Drosophila melanogaster: one gene and its partner. The protein of the gene in region 1 interacts with the protein of each later gene in a pairwise test. Each region holds a gene or a part of one and is shown on either strand. Other genes may lie near its edges. The genes, in order: CG12594 and CG9864.

The links.
Region 2: the proteins of CG12594 (region 1) and CG9864 interact in a two-hybrid assay, tested with the Drosophila melanogaster proteins (one large-scale study listed by BioGRID).

The regions. Positions count from the first base shown.
Region 1 is NT_033777.3:11,717,822-11,726,990, reverse strand, and holds the start of CG12594 (uncharacterized protein), read right to left. Parts: upstream 5,258-9,169; 5' UTR 4,639-5,257; exon of another isoform or gene 4,534-4,638; intron 1-4,533.
Region 2 is NT_033778.4:20,245,736-20,257,593, reverse strand, and holds CG9864 (uncharacterized protein), read left to right. Parts: upstream 1-2,923; 5' UTR 2,924-3,038; intron 3,039-3,628; exon of another isoform or gene 3,629-3,708; intron 3,709-7,321; 5' UTR 7,322-7,367; coding exon 7,368-7,386; intron 7,387-7,692; coding exon 7,693-7,847; intron 7,848-7,937; coding exon 7,938-8,480; intron 8,481-8,540; coding exon 8,541-8,820; intron 8,821-8,884; coding exon 8,885-9,126; intron 9,127-9,191; coding exon 9,192-9,350; 3' UTR 9,351-9,464; downstream 9,465-11,858. Other genes in the region: Ate1 (arginyltransferase 1), read left to right, coding at 312-396, 470-904, 965-1,158, 1,359-1,511, 1,785-1,966, 2,023-2,186, 2,246-2,397, 2,456-2,548; ppk6 (pickpocket 6), read left to right, coding at 10,087-10,478, 10,536-11,272, 11,349-11,466, 11,521-11,630, 11,684-11,823.

The DNA of each region.
Region 1 (9,169 bases):
CTTGATTGAGGTGGCATTGCCAAAGGACAAAAAGGACAAAAGGACCCCTCCAGCCCCAGCCCGTCAACCGAATCTTCAATTCTATTCAAATAATGGTGCCGGGTTTTGCATGATAATAGCTGCAGGTTGCAGTGGCTACATTCTGCTATGATTTATATAAAATGTTATATCGCTATCTGTACCTATGGAAGTCTATTTTAGTTTCCCCAAGGAAGCTTTTGCAAAGGGTCGAATTCATATATGCACGATTTTCTTTCAATGTCACAGATTTGCATGTGTTTTGTAATTTTTATTCGACAATTGTTGTCAAAGGGAGTATATTTGTATTAATGTTGCAACTTTTATCAAAGTGATTTTGCAATATGCTCTTTAAAGAAACTGAATGAAAGATGTTTTCAGTTTACAGTTTGTGGTAACTTATCTGAGTTTTACTTAAACAAATTATTGAAAATAATAAAATACAAGCTTCCTACTAAAAAAATCTTAAATCGTTAATGTACTTTACAATGAAGTATTTCCTACTTGCATTTTGTAGCAAGCTAATTCATTTGATTTTAGATTTATTTAAGGTATAATAGCTATTCTTGGCCACCTGTACTTCCTCTCAGGAACACAAAATTTACGAGAATTTATAGCGGCCATAAAAGGTTCTTTTGGTAACAAGAAGCTTAAGGACCAAGATTACTTCAGGCGGTGCAGGATCACAGGATGCTGGGGTTTGGGGCCATCAAAGTCGTTGCATTCGCTTTCATATCCTGGTGCAGGAAATAAATATCTGGATTAAGGACTTCTGCAGCATACTGGCTGGGCAAACAATGGCCATTGGAGTAACCAGTGGAAGATTCAGTGCCCGGTGGAGTTGGCAAAAGGGGACTAAAAGTTAAATCCACAACATAAACGTGCAATCAAATAGAATTTTTACGCACAAAAGGGCCAGCGGCAAAACATTTTCTGTAGATAAATGTGCACTTCCAGGGGCTAACAAAAGCTGCGCTCCGATTTTTCAGCGCAACCGGGTCGCATCCTTGGTGTCCTGCGGTCCCAGTGCGAAATGGAAAATGTACAACACGCGCCAATTCGGAAACGAATGCAAATGTGCGTCGGGTTGTGCAAAATTGAGACCTCAATTGTTTTATGGCCATGGTTGTTCGTCTATCGGTTGGCCCAGAAAAATGTAGGCGAGCGAACGAGTTAACAGTTCCGTACCGCTTGCACTACCAATTTCACTACCAATTCCACTACCCATTCCACTACCCTTTCCACTACCCATTTCACTACCATTTCCGTTTCCGTTCGACTGACCGGCAGGTCGTCACTCAACATTCATCGTATTCTCCGGGGGCGGCAATCAGTGTAATTGTTATTGTTTTTACTCCGCCTTTATTGCCCTTAATCCATTTTGTTTTGCTCTCGTTGCTGCTCAGTTGAACTTTTGCAAATTGGCAAAGTTACTGCCAGCGACAATCTGTTAAAAGCTTTTGAATTCCAAATCGACTTGGCCAAGGTGAGCCAAGCGGCAAGGCACGTACATATATACATAAATCAGTCGGAAAAGTCCAACGGCTAAGCCGAATGCATATTTAACGAACTTCGCCGCGATTCTGTGGTCCATTGGGGAAATTCTCGGACATCCCATCGCATTAACGAAAATTAGTATTGTCTTCCGCCTTTATGGTTCTCATTACTTGAATTGTGACGAGTTCTTTTGGAGGAGATTTCGAGGATGAGGGTAAATCCCATCCACACATCGATTTCAATTTCCTTTTGAAGGCAGGAAAAAGGAAACATCAAAATACAATGTTTCCGCCCACGCTGTGACACTTCAAAAATAGGCGGACATTATTATGAACAAATTGAAGGCCGGCTAAAAGTCAAGCAACCCATGTGTGCAAATATACACTTAAAAAAATATGTACTATTTCTACCTATATGAAAACAACAATTTGATTTATTTCATAACTTTGATTACGTAAAGGAATATACTTAAATAAGAATGGGTCTGTTTAAGTGGATACTTTAGTGATGTACTAAGATTGAGCAGATACACCAAAGAATCCTTTGATAACACAGTGAATAAAAATTATGAACTCTGGATATACCGTCCCGAAAAATGTATTTTCCCTATTTTCTGCGTGTGCATATTGTTGCTATTATTGGATGCCCGTCGCTCGAGATGATTGAATATCAAAAGGCAGTTGGCTCACGCAAATCTCCGACATGTTTCGAGTGGTCCCTGCCGCCTGACAACAATGTGAGCAGCGGGATGCGAGTTTAACAAGAGTGGATCCCCGAGGACTCGTATAACTGATAGCCACCCCCTCGGTCGACTGGGCAAGTTTGAAAGCCCAGCACGTTTGGCCAAACTTCCACAAGTGGCGGGGGTATCCTCGCTTGTGTCCCTTTTTTTTTTGGGTCAGGGACTGGCGGAAATATTTTGTACCCAAATTATGCCGTGAGTGCCAGGCATCGCACAAAAAGGAACCCATAGGACCCTCGAAGGAATCAAACCGACTGACTGAAGGCCCAAACCGTTCCACACGCATACGCAATTATCCTCGGGGACAACTGTCGCCTTTTATCTGTGCGAATGATTAAGCTTCAAGTGTCTTAAAATTAATTTTATAGTGTTTCCAGCCCAGGGACGAATCCGCATCCGTATTCGTATACGCAACGGGGCGTATGCGTAATCTTCCCAGCCATTAGCTAGATCCTGCTGGAATTGTATGCGTGTAGTGCTTAAATAGTTTTATCTGCCACGCGCTATCTTCGAGATACTTAATTCCAGCAGGTCCTAATATGTAAATCACTTGCAGTCGGAGTTCGTGTTTCAGGCTGGCTGAACTTTTATTCCCACGAACACGCCATTCATGCCCAGGAATTTCACTCAGCCCTAAGCTCCTCCGCCGTGGCTATATTAAATTCCGAGCTTATTGATTGCGAACCATTGCTATGCGGAAAAAGTATTTGTATTCCACCGATTTTTCACGTTAATCCCGTCTCAATTAACCAAGCGACTTAATCTCGATGCACGCTTAAATCATAACAAATTGGGGTAGATTCACTTTATAACTAAACAAATATTTGCCGGGAATATATTTCAATTTTCGGTATTTGAATTATGCAAACTCATTTGAGACGAAAGTGAATTTATTGCCAGCTCTGGCCCCAAAAACAAAGCCGAAAGGTTGCCGTCTCCGGTTTTCGCTCTGGCTCTGGCTCCGGATGCGGATGAGGAAGGATATGGCCATGGAGCTCCGGCTCCCCGGGAAATTTATGCGCACAATTAATTTGAAAATCCGAATTTCAGCCAACAACAGGCGAGCGTACTATACTCGTATACTGTATATCACACGGTTTACGGGGCCTGTTCGTCGCATAAGAACGAGATAAAATGTAGATACCTGCAGTGGGCCCGATCATCGACGTAAGTCGACGGGTACGTTTCATCAGTCCAATTAATTAAAATCCTTGCGGATTATTTGCTAAGCGTATTTGCTAATTGGGCCGGCTCTGATTAGACTGCTCGGCAAATACGAGTACTGTCAATCCAGCGGACTGGCGTCAGCAGTTAAACGTTAACCCGCCCGACTTAAGTGGCCCCATCCCTTCCAGCTTAATGAGCCCCTCGAATGGGAACTTTATCGCCGGGGTCGGCCTTCGTTTCCGCTCCCAGTTCAGCTGCCAGTCTCCATGGTTGCTGGCCCTCGGTGCAAATTGTAATTATAATGCCACTTAATGGGCATAAGAGCGCCTCAGTTCTTGTTGCCTGCTGTTATTGTTATTGTTGCGGAAGTGGAAGTGGAAGCGGCTTGGTGGAAGTAAAGGGTTATCAAAACCCCAGAGGTCGTCGATGAGGATGTTAAATGGATTTAACAGGCCAAGTTAGGTTCACCCCCATGCCTCCTATTCGAACATTGAGAGTCCTAATCATTGGCTCCGGGTCGCCCCATTATCCATTATCTATGCTGGGATTATTTTTATTGCAAGTGCAAAAGAAATTCGCTGGTGCCGAGATAACCGCAGATATTTTGCGCTGACAGAGCAAAAAGTTAGTTGCCCCATTATAAAGGGCTGCACATTAACCAATGGTGTGGTATGTAAATGGGCAAAGCCCCCTAAATACATACATACATATATATATATATATATATCATACTTCCACGGATTTGCCATTCCCCCCTGGTGGGTGCGGACCACTTTAACCCATTTGAAGCGACTGTCAGTTGCCAGTTAGCAGTTGCCAGTCGAGGGTTGCCAACGGCCATTAACAATGCAATTTTGTAACAATATGAAATTGTGGCTGTGGAATGGCTCAAAGCGAGCCTGATGCGATGAGGTTGCTCTGCAATTAAGCAGCATGCCACACGATCTAGGACTCGCACACATGTGGCAGACCCAACACAGAGGGACCTTAACATGAATCAATCTCCGACTCCAAAGGCGGCCACAAGTAAGCTGGAAATATTTGGAGCTGGTCGCTCGGTTGGCAGTGCGTGGAGCACCGGGATACCATTTGAAATTTAATATAATTACGTGATGTGCTCCTTTGATATTTGGCTATGGTAAAATCCTTTGACTGGCCTTTGTTAAGTTCTTGCCAATATCGAAATCCAATTTACACTTTAATGCGGTATTTACCTAGATAATTGATAATCACTTCTTTTTTTTTTATTAGACAAACACTGCGGATTATAATTATTTATTTTATTTAATACTGGTTCACTTAATAAAAACACGTTGATTCGTTAAATGTAATTATACATTTTAGATTTTGCGATGTTTTGCATAAATTTCTCACTTCAAATAACTAGTGACCATTGTTCGTCCGACGAAAGCCAAATCATTGAACTATTTAAGCTTGTAATCTGATTTCAATTTGATTTATATTGGCAACGCAAACTAGATTGCTTTGTGGTCACTTTGTTGGACTAACTATTCGGTATTGGCATTTCGTTTATATTGTTTCTTTTGTTCGTTAGCATTGTAATTATGCACTTGCGAAGGGTTTGTTTATTTATTTCCCACTTTTCACCACATGGCTGGCTGATTAAATTTTGCGAACCCACAAGCGCAAACTAATTACAGTTTTTATAGCTTTGCCGTAATATCAACAAGCGAGTTCGAGTTTGAAGTTAAACCAAGTATGGTTTTCCAAGTATTTCCGCTTTGTGAAATTTTCCGGACTGGCGCCACGAACGAACTGCTTTGGTTTTGGCCAGAACAGCGGCTTTTATAGTTGGCAAGGATCCGTGGGTCCTGCGCCTGCGCGGATAATATCCTGATGGACTGACTCCCTCTTTCATTTTTGTTTCCTCCTTTCGACACGCAACACAAAGCCGGCTGTTTTGCTGGCCGTCCGTGGTCCACTGAGCCAATGCTCATTTACCGCCCGCTTCCATTTCCAGGGCGTTTGTTTACACCGGGACAGCTGAGGTCGGGACAACAAAGTTTGAAGCCATCCGAGGCACTTGGCACTTGCCACTTGGCACGCTGCTGTCATCCCAGCCGTTAAGGAGCCCCACTCTTGTATAGTACGAGTGTATGTATGTACGTTAACGGGGATATGTACTTGCTGTACTTGCAAAACATTGAAGTTTTAATTGAATTGCGGCTGCAAGTTTTAACTGCATTCTGTGGGTAGAATATTCAGCGTTCCTACACGCAGAAAGGTGCGAGAAAAAACTTCGTCACAAACTTTTCAGCTCGCAAGTTTTTCACTTTTCATTTCTTGACAGTGCGTAGAGCGTGTGTTTCTGTTTAGCCCTTTTAGATGCAGTTGGCAAGTGCGGCATTCAGCCAGGCTAAGTCAGTATTCAAAATAGCTGCGCCTGCAAGTAGGCAACAATGTTTTCATTTCCGGTTACCGTTTATGTGGTGGCTTGGTGTCTGTGTGTGAGTGCGCGTACGGCTGTGTGAGTGTTGAAATCTGTGTCGAACACCTGTTGTTGCCATTGTTGTTCTGGCGTTATCGCCTTCTTGGCCATTTGGCTTATTTTGTGGGGCCGTAAAAGTTTTGATTTCGCACTTTGCTAGCCTTTCTCAAATGATTTTCGTTCGCTAAGGATGTTCGAATTTACAGGATATATTTGCACTAAAGACGAAATCATAGATTCGACAATCTACAGTAAGTCTGAGGTTAACATTTGTGATTTATTAAAAATCATGATCATATTTCTAAGACTTTAACTTTTAATTTAACGCTAGGGTTTTTTGGTTGCGCTACCCTTTTCCAAACATCCCTTTCTACTTTCTTCGCTGCTATCTGTTTTGTTGCTCATGTCGCACCATTGTTGGCCTGTCGTCCTGGGTGGCATGACTCTTAAGTACCACCACCAGGTGTTTTGATTTATTGCGGCTTGGTTAAGTGCGGCCACAAACTTCATTTGGGTCCCCAGACTCAGGCAAAAGTTTCCACCGAACGGACTGACCAAGGATTATAGCCAACGGCAGCTTGGAGAACAGAAGTTAAGAGGAGCAAGCTGTGAAAAAGCTAGAAATGAGTGCTTAATATTTGTGGCAACTTTGATGTTAATCGCAAAACATTTCGAGTTCCGCCAATTAATCATATTTATCAGATCTTTATTTCGGAAAGCGAGTGTTTTCCTTATATTCTTAAATTAATACTTAAGTGCCTTAAATGTTTCAAAGAGCAGAGTAAATGGAATGTTGCACAAATGTAGTTTAAATTGTAAAATGGCAGTAAGTCTGAAATGAACCGAAATTAAAACCACACAAATGCAATTGCTTTCCACACATTAAACTATGTTTCAAATGTAATTTCGCAACATTCCATTCACAACTCGATTCGTTGAGGGAATCGCCGCACACTGCTTGAATCCGATTCACACCCAATATGTGCTGATTATTTATGCCTTTTATCTGGCAAACGGCGCCAGTGCTAACCCATTTAGACAATTTGGTTGATTTCGCACCCACTGGCCAAACACCCGAACAGCCAAATGCCCAAAATCGCTAAATCTGCCACGCCCCACAGATCCTTTGTTCATCCAATTCGGTTTGGAGGCCTCTCTCTGTGCAGAAGCTAATTACAATTACGAGCCATGGCAAGCGGCTAACTCTCCCACTTGGCAATCGAGTTCCAAAACATAGCCATGCATATTTAATTCTTCTTGCCCAGAATCCCTACTCCCACGTCTCCCCTCCGCCCACGATTCTTTTGGCGCTTTGCAAGTGTAGCTTAATTTGACAAGAGGGAAGTGTTGGAAGGGGGGGGGGGGCGGTTGGCGTGAAAGTCGTCGGCAGTTTGGATGGCCAAAAACCATTTGGAACATGCACAATTTTGACACCATCCCAATCGGCCCCCAGTAACAAGTGCCATTCACATGGACCGGGGCGATTTCATGGGAACTCAATTAATGGAGCATGATCTTAATGGGTTCCTATTCCCACTGCCCACCACCCATCTCGACGGCGATGAGGACGAGGACATGGCCGTTGGACGGCGGGCAGCGAGGCGTACAAACACATGCCGCTCGCTAAGTGCGCCAAATCAGCAGAACTCTAATTGGAGGCGGATGCCGTTTCGTCCTTCAAAAAAAAAAAAAAAGATGAGAAAAAAGAAGGAATGCTGTCGGCGCTAAAAAAAACTTATTTTAGGCGAGGGTAAAGCCAAAGCCCTCTTCCTACCCCACATCCCCGATTTCCTGATCCGGTGTGCGATGAATTGGTGAGCGTTTGCCGAGCAATTAGGAGGCCAGGCGTCAATATTTCGATGGGTATGGGTTAGTTGGCCCTTGCTTTATTGGCCCGCGTGTGGCTTTGAAGTTGGTTTAGTTGGGTTTGGAGCGTGGGAAAAGCTTTAAAATACTTGACATTGAGTTTTGAACTTTAGGCTCAATGGGGTATATATATTTTCATCAAAGGGAAATGGCGATAGATCTATGAACCTAATTGACGCAACAAAAAGGCCCAAATCTGAAGGCCCATATCATTTACAGTTTCACAACGTAAACTGAGTTGAGAAACGATTGCAATATTGGGAATATTTAAATATTTATGCAGACAATTCGGGGGCAGAATGTTCAATAGCCCACGTGATTTTTACCAAGGCAGCCAAATGCAATCAGAGGCCATAAAGATGGGCCCACCAGGAGGAGCAGGGCACTCGACTCGACTCGACTCCGGGCAAACGAGGCTAATATTTCAGGGCGCGAAGCAATTGCGTTCCGCCTGCCAGGATTCGCTCGACTGTGTGTTTACTGGCAAATTTGTAGCTCGTGGCATCATCGAGCAGATGGCAGTCGGCAAAATACAATTTAAACGTGCAACCGGCGGCAAGACCCGTGGCATGTAATAGAATCCAACTGCGACTACGATTCGAGGCCACTTTTTGCACCAGCGCCCCCGTATGCAAATGTGTTGCGTTCTGCGGAATATCTTTATACAATAATCTTATCAACGCATCGGCTGGCATGTGGCATGTGGCGTATGTGATACGGCATATGGTGCAACAGGGTTATGGGGGAGTTGGGCTGCCGAACCGCCGCAACCACTTGGCATATTGCGGCTGACAGGTTTATGATGGATTGCCACCGAGGAGCTGCAAACTGCTCACCACCTCGGAATTTTGCGATTCGATTTAAATTCGCATTTGTGTTTATGCAAGGAATTGAGCCATTTTTTATCGTCAGCTTATATGGGATTGGATTCCGTCCGCACACACAAATACTGTGATGTGTTGCCATTTGAGCTCAAAATATATTGATACTCTGGCTTTGTCTGGATGGGGCAGCTAACTTGGTTACCCAATTGAAATTCGAGCATAAGTACTAACTAACTTATCAAATCAAATCGAGATGCTCACGTCCTGGCACACATTTTCATTGCTAACCATTGAGTGCTTGGCAACAACAGCTCAAAAATGTGGAACTGCTCCTTGAAGGACCTTCGGATCCCCCAATTTTTTTTTTGTGCTCGTTAATGAGATTTATTGCGGGACACTGTTGCATTATATGAGAATATAATGGGGATATGGGAACATCAGGGTGGGAGCAGCGAGACAAGCAATTTAATTTTTAATTTTCCAAATGAATGCCTTCAAATTAGGCTCGTTGTTGGGGTGATTATCTGCGCAATTCACGTGAGCGGGCCTCAAATCGGATCCCATCTATTAAAGTATACATTCAACAGTACGGCTTTAAGCCATTGT
Region 2 (11,858 bases), on another chromosome or scaffold:
GCTTAAACATATTTTTACAATGATTCAATTCAATATAACATTTAATATAATTTTAAATATATATTAGAGAATAACTTTATAAATCCAAATATGCTAGAAACTTTATCTCTTAGATGAGATATGAATGTAATTTCTAATTACAGTGTACATGGCCTATTACCATTTATGGCGCCAGTATTTTTTAATCGGCGAGCACTGGTCACACTGCTTGCATATAAAATTTCGCAACAGAGCGGCTTGCAGCTTTAATATTTTAGTCGTAATTAAATGCAATATGTTTGTACTATAAACGCCGTCGGAAGAGCTTAATAATGAGCTTGAGCATTGTGAGTTACTATGGCAGCCAGCAGAGCAAGTGCGGCTACTGCGCGGGAGCGAACTGCAGCCTGTCGCACGGTGAGAACATGCAAAACCAGTCCAAAAACCAGGTGCAATGTACCAATTATTGTGGATTCGTCATAAATGACAGGTATGCACGCGTATCAGCTGGACTGCCGGGACTATCAGGACCTCATCGATCGCGGCTGGCGGCGGTGCGGCTACTACTGCTACAAGCTGCGCAACCAGGAGACCTGCTGCCCCTGCTACACAATCAAATGTAATGGCCTGGAGTTCAAGCTCTCCAAGTCGAACAAGCGCATACTTCGCCGCATAAATCGATTTTTGCGCGACGGCAAGCGAGAGTCCAAACCGGAAGCCGGCGACGGTGACGGGGAAGCCGATGCCGATTACGCCATAGTGGCTCCCGAGGTCACGGCCAGCGAACCGCAACCCCAGCTGCCAGATAAGAGTCCCCCTGTTATCAATGTCGAGCAAGTTGCATCACTGGCAACGGCTCAGAGGAAGCCGACGAAGCAGGCAACTGCTGCCGCGGTGGAAGCTCCTACGTTGGGGTCCAACAAATGTGCGTATGCTCCTTAATGCCTTAATGCCACAGTAATATATATATTATTTATTATATTAGCATCACTCTTATCTTCATCAGCCGCAGCACCGATCTCAAACAAGCCGTGCAAGAAGGCCAAGCAGATGCGATTGGATCGACGGCTGGCCAAGCTGGGAGACTCGGCCTCCTACTCAACGAAATCCCTTACCCAGGAAAAGACACTTCGCGACTTCTTGAACACGGACAGCGAGACAAACAAACATCGGCTAAAGGTGCGTTGCGAATAAATGTGGATAGAATAATTAGTTAGACCGTTTGCAAAACTAAGCTGGATAGCGTGAACCTATGTACATATGTTGATAAGGGTTTACACTGTATATTGCGCCTATGTGTTTCCTGTGTCCGTTCCCCGAGTATAAGTCTCCCGCTACATGTAGACACATCTGTCTTTGTGCTGTTTGTGTTCTTGCAGATCGTGTTAGTCGCTTCCTCAGACACAGAGCGCACTTGTGCCGATGCAGTGATCGCGTTGTATCGCAAATACCAAATAACCGTTCATAATGATAACCCCGCACGCCTCACCCTAGCTAGTATGCAGCGGTTCTTGGTCAAATCGCCTCTTAAGGTAATTATAAACGAGTATTCATCTTTGCCCCAAAAATGTATTCGCAGCTGCGCTTAATTCACGTCTACGACGACGAGTTCCGGCGGACCCTGCCCCAGAGTTTTGCGCTCTATAAGAAGTATCAGATATCGATACATAATGATCCGCCAAAGGATCAGGACGCGTACAAGGAGCATCTGCAGGCGACTCCCCTACAGGTTTTTCTCTATAATAATTCATACATTTAAAAGCTTTACTTCTAACCTCATAATTCCGGGACGTTTTTGCTTGCAGAATGAGAAACCCTGGGATGGTCCCGAAATGGGCTACGGTTCGTTTCATCAGCAGTACTGGCTGGACGACAAGTTGATTGCCGTCGGCGTGATTGACATTCTGCCGGGTTGTGTAAGCTCGGTGTACTTTTTCTACGATCCGGACTATAGCTTTTTATCGCTTGGCACATATGGTTCACTCAGGTAAAGCAAGATTCCGAGCAAAGAAAGATAAAACTGCATAGAAGAAATTCTTACAGGGAAATTGAATTGGTGCAGTCGCTCGCCGAGAAGGTGCCTTCTCTCAAGTATTACTATATGGGTTTCTACATACACTCCTGTCCCAAAATGCGCTACAAGGGCAAGTTGTCCCCCTCTTACTTGCTGTGCCCGGAGACCTATGAATGGCTACCGCTCACCGATGGTAAGTTTGCGATTTTCTTGTTAATATTCTGTACTAATAACAAACACGTATATATTCAGTTATTCGTGCTAAGCTAGACGAACATAAATACCAGCGCTTAAACGAAGATCCTGCAGCTAGGGATGTGAATGAGTTTTTGATGGAGCATTTGGACGAAGTTAAGCTGCTCTTGGGTGGAAGAACCCGCACAGACTACAAGCACTTTAGGCAGGCATGTTTATTATCATTAACATCAGTGGTTCATAATCTAATATACGTTTTATTTACAGCTGCGTGGGACCGTCTCCGATGACGATATCATTATTGAGTACAGCAAGCTCGTGGGAAAAGAGTGTGCTCGGCGCATGCTATACGTGAAGTAAAGTTGCCATTATTTGAATTTTGAATTAAATGCCGTTCGCAATAGCAATATGTTGAAAATATAAAATATTTTAATAATTCCACCGGTCTTGCACCCAATATAGTTGTAATCATTAGCAGACACTTGATTACCCCTTGTTGTTTGCCTACACCAGGTAAGCGCCACTGTTGGAATGTAAAGAATAATATGCTCGTCATTCGTACATATTTTTCTGAAAAGCTGACAGCTTTCCACTCATAATCGCCTCTTATCAGAAACAAGCAGCTAAATGCATCAATTAAGCTTTATGGGCTGGCAACATTCTGTGTTGGTACAAGTCGGATAACCGCTGGAGATAATGTACTTTATAAGCCACTCCAGGGTGAGATAGTTGGCCAGGAAGCCAATTGTTGCCGTGAAATCAAGTCGTTTACAGCAGTGGAACAAGTCGGATGTGTCCAAAGGGTTCGGATTACCAACTGTCTACGCTGGAAAGAGTGTTCTTGCCCAAGGTGAGGAGTGTGAGAAGTTATTTGCGTCTGAAGACGAGCGCTTAATTATAAATAAACTTGTGTCAATAATATCTGTTCTGCTCTGGCTTTTCACCGGCATTCGCCAAGTGCGCTAATTAAACAAAAATTAAATTATAAAACAACGGTCAAGTAAGTTTTTACAGCACGTGTATTTTATGGTGATATTTTTTTTTCCAAATTTATGAATACTATCATTCGCCAGTTTGGGTTGGGATTTACCAAACAAATTAGTAATATGAATATCGGGGTGGTAATATTTTTGAATTATTAGTCACCGTGTTTATTGGCTTACATTTTAGCACAATTTTGTGAGATTTGTTGTTAACAAATTTCTCGGCACATTTTCGTTGCGCCAATCGCATGCGATTTTTGGCACGCTATCAGAAAGCGTTAAAAAAAGGCAGTTCGACGTTGAGCTTCAACCGACGGCAGCAATTTAAACAATTTTTAACCGTTTTAACCGGTGCTGCCGCCGCTGAAAACGAGACTGCGACTGCGGCAGGTGGAAGTTTTGCTTAAATCGTCGCCCCAAGTAGATGTATATATGCCATTGGCAACCGCCGATTTAGCTTCATTCGCCGCGCGACGTTCTCAGCAGTCCGTTTCGCCCGCTGAGCAGCTCCTAGACAACAAGTGGCAGCCACAAAAAGTGAGTTCGGCGCAGCCTAGCCTATCTATTTCCCCCACGCATTTCGACGAGAAAGTCCAGTTTTCTTTGGGCAGTTAAAAAAAAAAAACAGAAGCAGAAAACAGAAATTGCTGCAGCTGCGTGCAGATCAGATGTTTCCCATCCATATTAATCCGATATTATTGTTTTGGGCTTCGTGGTAAAATTCCATGCAAAATTGGTGCCACGAAGAAGTGCGAGCGCAGATAAGCGGAGATGACTTTGAGTGTTTTGTGATCGCGAGTGGCTTGTGTCTGTGTGTGGGGTCTAGTCTAGACCATGATCTATTGCAAATTTTCCATAACGAATTGATGCGAAGAAATCTGCTGAGACAGGCCCCCCTTTTCATATTATATTTGAATGTTTGGCTGTATAAATAGGAACATTCAGAGTGGGATGTCTTGGAAGAGAGAAATCGAAATCGAATCGTATCGGAATGCCAGCTTAATTAGGCTTTGACCGTTTTATTTTCAGTTACCCGAAAATTTGCATTCCAAATAATAACAGGTTTCGTTATTTTGATTCATTGAACCGCGACCACCGACCCCACCGACCACCATTCCCAGCAATTTCAATTTGATATCGCTACTTCCACCACGACTTGGCAACAAGTTGGTCCACTGTCATCTCGAGTGGTTGCAGCTCATTTGGCTCAGGATTAGAGACTTTGGACCCAGGCTGGACAGGTTGATCAAAAGAAGTCTCTAGCTTGTGCAGATACAGGTTTGGATCTACGCAAAAGATTCATTGGGTATTTGTTTTTTTTATGCAACTCTATTCGAAACGTTCGCTTGGCGAACCTTTTTAGTTTTGTGAATAACAAATATTCACACTCGTGATTTTCTATTAGCATGTGCGTGCAATATTCGCAATTGTCGCATTGATTTGGACAGGCATTTACTACAATCATTGCTAGTTTCATGCGCCACGTAATTTTCCGAAATTTAATTATAACGTGCAAAAATGCAAAACTAAAACAAAAGAAATGAAAAAAAAACAAAACACAAATTATATGATTTCAATGGGAATTGGTGCAAAATGGCAGTTCAGTTCGCCCCAGTGAGGCTATGAGAACCCAATTTAAGCAAATACAATGTTCCACAACAATAACTGACAAGCGAAGTGGGTTCATTACCGATCTTGATTTGTGTTAGCCAGTTACGCCTGATTGCCGCTAAAATAACCAGCAGAGTTCTATGCCAGAATCGAACTCCACTCCATACGATACCATTTTCGATGGGCATGTTGGAACTGGAGGATACCGAGAAAAGGGCGAAGACAGACGAGACCAACCTTAAATCGTGCCAACTGGGTAGCCAGCCAGCAGAGAGTCTTATGTAAATGGAACGCGTGTTATGAATACCCGCGAATACGACTACTCGGTTGCTTCATCTTCGGATTCGTGGCTGACCTGCATATATAGAGATATACATATGTATATCGCTCATATTGGATCCTTCGAATCGAGCGCTCTCCGATCGTAAATCAAATCATTTAACGTGGTAAACACACAGGCTAATTGCCGATTAACCTGACTCTAATGATGGTCGTTCGCCAGTTGATATAGCCAACTAACTTATCACGACCATGCCAATGTGCTATAAAACACCTCTTTATGGCCATCATAAATTGCCGAGCTGATTTTATAAAGTCAATGGCGAGGATGTTGATAAGGGCGTAACTCCGTAGATTAGAACGAGAAGCTGGCGCTAACTTAATGGCCCATATATGTATAGTCAAAATATAGGCAAAAACCCAGAGAAACAAAACCTAATGATTTGTTTGGGCTTTCAGCAGTTTATCGGGTATCCAGATCGCTGTAACATCATTCCCTGCAATTAGTCAGAAGTACGGCCAAAATGAATGCCCAAGGTCATTAGTCGCGTTCTTTGATCTCTGGGCAAAGGTATAATTAAAAGATTTCAATACACGTATTGCACATCAATAATTCCCCATCAACTTGTTCCCACTATTCTGCCAAATTAGTTTGCTCAAAATCATCTACGAGTGTTCGCAGTCAACTCACGTAATTAAAACCATATGCAATCATAAAACCAAATGCCACAAAGGGTTAGATGGCCTTTGGTCTTGGCTCTTTTTATTTTTGCCATAATCCAGTTTGTGGTCTAGTCCACAGGAAGAAAAACCCGTCCATAAATGGAGTTTTATGCATAGAAAGGGAGCTATTTTTACTGCTGCCGTTGGCTCCATTCAGGTAACTTAAGATTGCTTATCACAGCGTGCGTAAAGCAGGTATATGTACTATATTTATGGCCACTTTCTCAGTAAGACCTTTAATCGGATTTCATGATTTAGTACGTGTTTAGTACGGGAAGTCGATCCAATTGGGCACTTGCATTTTCAATTTTGGCCGGCTATCTAGGGCGATCATTAAGCTATCCAAGCAACAAGTGTTCGATCTCAATATAATTCTTAATTAAACGCCAGTGTGTCTTTATGAATAGCAGTCGCGCACAAACATATCAGTTTTTTTTGTTTGTTTGTTTGTGCGAAATGCAGCGAGGGCAGCTGTTTAAATGATCCAACTACCAGAACATTACTTCCCTTACATCTAAGCCATATTATCGCAAGATCATATCCCATAGATAGTTAGAATGGTTAGATTGGAAAATGGACATAGCATGCCACGGGTCAATTATTGTCAATGTTGCTTCATCACTGCCGCAAAACTCTGACGTCGCCAATGCCATTCGACACTTTCGTGGCACGAAATTAAATTGGCGACGAAAGTGTTTAAATTTGATTTAGTTATGCATTTTGATTTGACTAAACGGGGCACTCACGTGCCGGTTTTCGAGTGCCGAGCGGTACGTGCTTATAAAATTTCAACAAGTGCATTGCACGCAGATAATGCCAAAAAGCACTCTCGACCGATATGAAAAATGCGCAAAAAAATTCACGGCTAATTCTAAATAGACCGTTACACGTGCAAGTTAACAACAATCGCGGCTATCACATTCGAAATAGAGCTGAATTAATGGATGTCGCTTATTTACTATATAACAATGTTAACAGATTGTTGAAGTTATCTGGTTGTTGCATTTAATGAACGGAAATGTGTATTTGAACTTATATTAAATTGTATCTTTATTGTCAGTTAGATGACAGTGCTAACTAAGCAGCCGATTAAGTTATCTGTTTTTTTAGATGAAATAAGTTTTTCAGCCAAAAAAGCAAGTTTTCAAGTTTTCAGTAAGTTTGCAAGCATTTATAATAATTTAGAGCTGCAAATATAGTACTTACTTAATAATAGTGATAAATTGCTTTTTAAAAACCATTATTCATTTCCTTAACCTAATAGAGCAAAAACAAATTAAAAGCAAATCAATAATGAGTTTGGACAACGGGTATCCGAAACGTATATGTACATTTATTAAAATTGATCTAGTGTTTCCGAAAATAGCCCTGAATGATTCGGCATTTTTAGCCTCAATAATTTAATTCAATAAATTCACAAATATTTTGCATTTTAGCGAATGTGTGGGGAAATACCCGCACTCGTTTGTACGTAAAGTGATCTGCATCCGAAGATGTGGCTAACCAACCGATTCCTGTTGTTTTCTTCGTTTTTCAGCTGACAAGCGACGCGAGGCTACGGAGCCATAACAAAAGCCGCCGAAATGGCCTTCATGCCGTGCTGTAAGTACCCAAATATATTATGGCCACACGCTCGGAATTGTCGTCAATAAGGCCTCACGTGATGATCTTCGATCGGAGCACCGACATCCCCGAAATCCCCGACATGATATCCATCACAAATATTGAAATTTGCGCATGCGCAGCCCATTAGAAATCTGTGACCCGTCCCCAAAAAAAAACGGGAATGGGGAGATCTTTTCGATCCGCTAATTGATCTAACGTGTTGCGAGGGGCCTGCCTGTACCTCTATTCATAAATTGAATAACGATCCGTTGGTCAATAATCAATATTTGCTGTCGTTCGCAGTCTATGTGCCCAAGCGGATTAACCTGGCGATCATGCTCTTCATGGCCTGCCTCCTCAGCTACATGATGCGAGTGAATCTCTCGATCAACATCATCGCCATGGTGGAGGACACGAGCAGCCACGAGAATGGAACGGAGGTGGAGGCACTGCCCGATGTGAGTTTAATCAATGGGAATCAGGATACTAGGGATTATCCTCTATCGATTCTATCTAATCCATTTTGTTTTTTGGCATATTCCACTTAGTATGGACCGCGCTACAACTGGACGCAATCGGATCAGGCTCTGCTGCTGGGTGCCTATTTCTATGGCTATATGATCACCTCACTGCCCGCCGGCACTTTGGCCGAGATGCTGGGAGCCAGAAATGTGGCAGGTTACAGTTGCCTGGTGGCCGGCATCCTGACAGCTCTAACTCCGGCGGCAGCTGCCTGGGACAAATATGCGGTGTTTGCCGTGCGTTTCTTGATCGGCTTCCTCAACGGTGTCGTGTATCCGTGTTGCCACAGCCTTGTTTCCAAGTGGTCGCCTCCGGATGAGAAGGGCAAGTTTGTGGCCTCGCTGATGGGTGGCACTTTTGGCACCGTCATCACATGGCCCATTAGCGGTGTGATCATCGAGAATCTGGGCTGGGATTGGGCCTTCTACATTGTGGGCATATTCGTGCTGGTGGTGGTCGCTATATGGTTCTACCTTGTGGCAGATACTCCTGCCCAGCACAGTACGATCAGTCTGAAGGAGCGGGAGTATATCGAAAGCAGCTTGGGCGACACTCTGAGCAACAAGAAGGTATGTTGGTCCATAAAAAGCAACTAGGACTTATTTACACATTTGTTGCAACCTTTGTAGAAGTGGCCACCATACAAGGAGCTCGTCCTGTCGCTGCCCTTCTGGTCGCTCATGATGCTCCACTACGGCAGCATGTGGGGTCTGTTCTTCCTGATTACCGCCACGCCCAAGTTCTTGAGCGAGGTCCTGGGCTTCAATCTCTCGTCCGCTGGCTTCCTGTCCAGCCTGCCACATGTGGCACGTCTGCTCTGCGCCTTCGGTTTTGGCGCCGTGGCGGATTGGATACGTCGACGTGGCTGGTTGTCGGTGACCCGCATGCGCAAGGCCTTCTGCCTGCCCTGTAAGTGTGCCTATATTATTCTACATTTGATTATACTATAGCCATACGATTTAACTTTGATTAGCTCACATCTTGCCCGGCGTCATGCTGATCATCCTGGCCTACTTTGGTCGCGATCCCTATGTGTGCGTTGCCATTATGACCATTTCGCTGGGCTTCAACGGAGCTGCCACCGCCTCCAATTTGGCCAACTCACAGGATCTGGCGCCCAACTATGCGGGCACGCTGTACGGCATCATTAACTGTGTTGGCACCACGCCCGGAATCTTTTCGCCTCTGATTGTGGCCGCCTTTACAAAGAACGAGGTTTGTGGCGATTCTCTAGAAATCCCGAATATCCATCCCATTCATGAATTTTCCATACTCCATAGAACACAATCGATCAGTGGCACTGGGTGTTTATCATTGGAGCCGCTGCCTACATATTGCCTGCGCTGTTTTTCTGGGTCTTCGGATCGGGTAAAATCCAGAAGTGGAACGAGGTTCAGACCACCGAGTCGCGAGAGGATATTGTCAACACAAAGTTGTAGTTTGTGCCCTGGCAATCACCTGTGATTATGTACTTTAAGTATTATGCCATAACGACGATGTGTACTTCTTTATGGAGAGAGTCCTATTAAAACTTTAGCCGTGTATTTATTATTAACCAATATGGTTTCATTTCGCGCACGTGAATTCTGAATCACGAGTCAGTTGAGATCGAAACCAGTTTCTCTTAGATTGGCATAACGACCTTAACCTGGTCGGGGAATATACTCTGGCGAACTGGTTGGGGGCTCTTTGCAGAGTTTGTTTGCTGATTAGGAACTCATGGTTGAAGAAACGGAATTGACACCCGTAATTAGTCAAATGCTAATCAAATTTGAGGACACTTTTAGCCAACAAATTGCCGTTTTTAATTGCGTATTAACGTCATGCCCAACAAGTTGATAGTAGGTTAGCGGCGAAGTCAAAAACGCAATTTATAAGGTGTGAAAATTCATTTTAAAATCAAAATTAAAAGATTTAGTCATAGAAATTGAGGGAAATACCAGTTACTCAAAATATTTATTATATCCACACATCTCAGAGTATTATAATTAATGGTTATAGTGTACAAGTTAATTAATTCGACCAATAAACTTTTAGAATAGTTAACATACGGCTAATGGTCACAAGTTAGTCACTCCATTAACCTATAATTAGCACCCATTATTCCAGGCATTAAGGACACTAGCCTGGCCTATAAAAGCAAGGAAGTTGAGCACCAGCTGCAGACAGTACAAAATGATAGAATCGGGAAAGTGGCCAACGCCAGGAAAAAAGAACTCCAAAGGCGATGGGAGCAGAAAGCGTGGAAAGGATCCAAGTTTGATTAGGACAGCCATATTGGCCACTTTCTGGGAGTACACGGAGCGGACCAAGGTGAGCGGCATGTGGCTTATGCGTCGGAATCGTACCTACGGTCTGTCCCGGTTCATCTGGTCCTCGGTACTGCTGCAGTTGCTCCTGCTGAGCATCTACCTCACCCTGCTGCTGTGGCTGAAGTTCTACTCCTACCCCATTCTAAACACCATCTCCAATGATCTTTCCATCACGGATGTCGCATTTCCGGGCGTTACCATCTGCAGTCCGAAGGTGGTCAACTCGGAGCGGGTCGATCGATATGTCAAGACGCTGTAAGGAGCTCGGAAGTAAGCTTAGAATAACCACTAAAAGTTTTCCTTCCCTTAAAGTAAAATTCCCAAGGAGTACGACATGGCAGAGGTGATCGCTGGATTTGATTTCCTTAACGCCTTCACGGATCAGAGCTTTGAGCCGCCGGGACACGATAGCTATCGGGCCACCGATGCCGTTCTTCGGCTGAACAACGTGTCCATCTGGGAGGCGGCCATGGCCGTCAGTCCGGGTTGCTTCGATTACGTGAAGCGCTGCTTCTGGGGCCACACGGAGTTTCAGTGCAACCAGAGCCACGAGTACCTATCGTTCATTCCCACCACTGCGTATCTGGGACCCTGTTGTTCCTTCAACTATAATCCCAGGAACGCCAGCTTCGTGCCCTTCTCGGCCAACATTTTTGGGATGGATGGCGGACTGACCTTCGTGGGTGCGGAGGGCAGCGAGCGGAACTTAAACACTGGCCTGATAGTACTGGTTCACCATCCCATGGACTACGTGACTGAGGCTGCTGCCTCGGTGACCATTACCGCTCAATCCGAAAGCTTTGTGGAGGTATCGCCCACGGTGCAGAGCTCCTCGGTGGAGGTGCTGGAACTTTCGGAACGTAAGAGGGACTGCCTCATCTCGGGCGACCTGCAGCTGAGCAACTATCGCCAGGCCGCCTGCCTTCTCGCCTGCCAGACGGAGGCCATCGTCAAGAAGTGCGGCTGCCATCCGTATCTGCTGCCCATCGTGGGCAACAAGTTCAAGGAGTGCAATCTAAACGACACCTTCTGCTATTCTGCCAACTATGGTGGGTATGGTTTAGGGCTTAGTGGTTTTAAAGAGGGGTTCCTTAATATAAAGGGGTTACCTTTCTATCTGGGTAGATAACTTCAAAAGTGTGCGCTGTGATCAGTGCCTGCCCAATTGCTATGATGTCACCTACTCCACGCTGTCCTACAAAACCGATCTCAACCAGCATAAGTACTCAGTCAGCCGCTTCTAGTAAGTAATAATATGGATAACTTAATGGGTTATTGACTGGTTTTTATTCCACAGCTCTCCGGAATTGCTTAACAACGACAGTTTTGTGCTCCGGGTCTATTTGGCCAAACAAGTGGTTCCAGTTATCCGGAAAGTGACTGTTATGTCTTGGATAGGACTATTATGTGAGTGGATAAGCCGTCTCAAAGATGAAATATTTTAATTGCACTCATTTCAGCGGATTTGGGTGGCATCTTTAACCTCTGCCTCGGACTAAGTATGATTTCAGTAGTTGAGTTCTTTTACTATTGCACATATCGCTTATACATAAACTATCAACTGCAGAAGGTTCAGCAACCCAGAAAGGCATGGCAATAAAGCAAATACAAAAAAAAAGAAATTATGGTATCTTA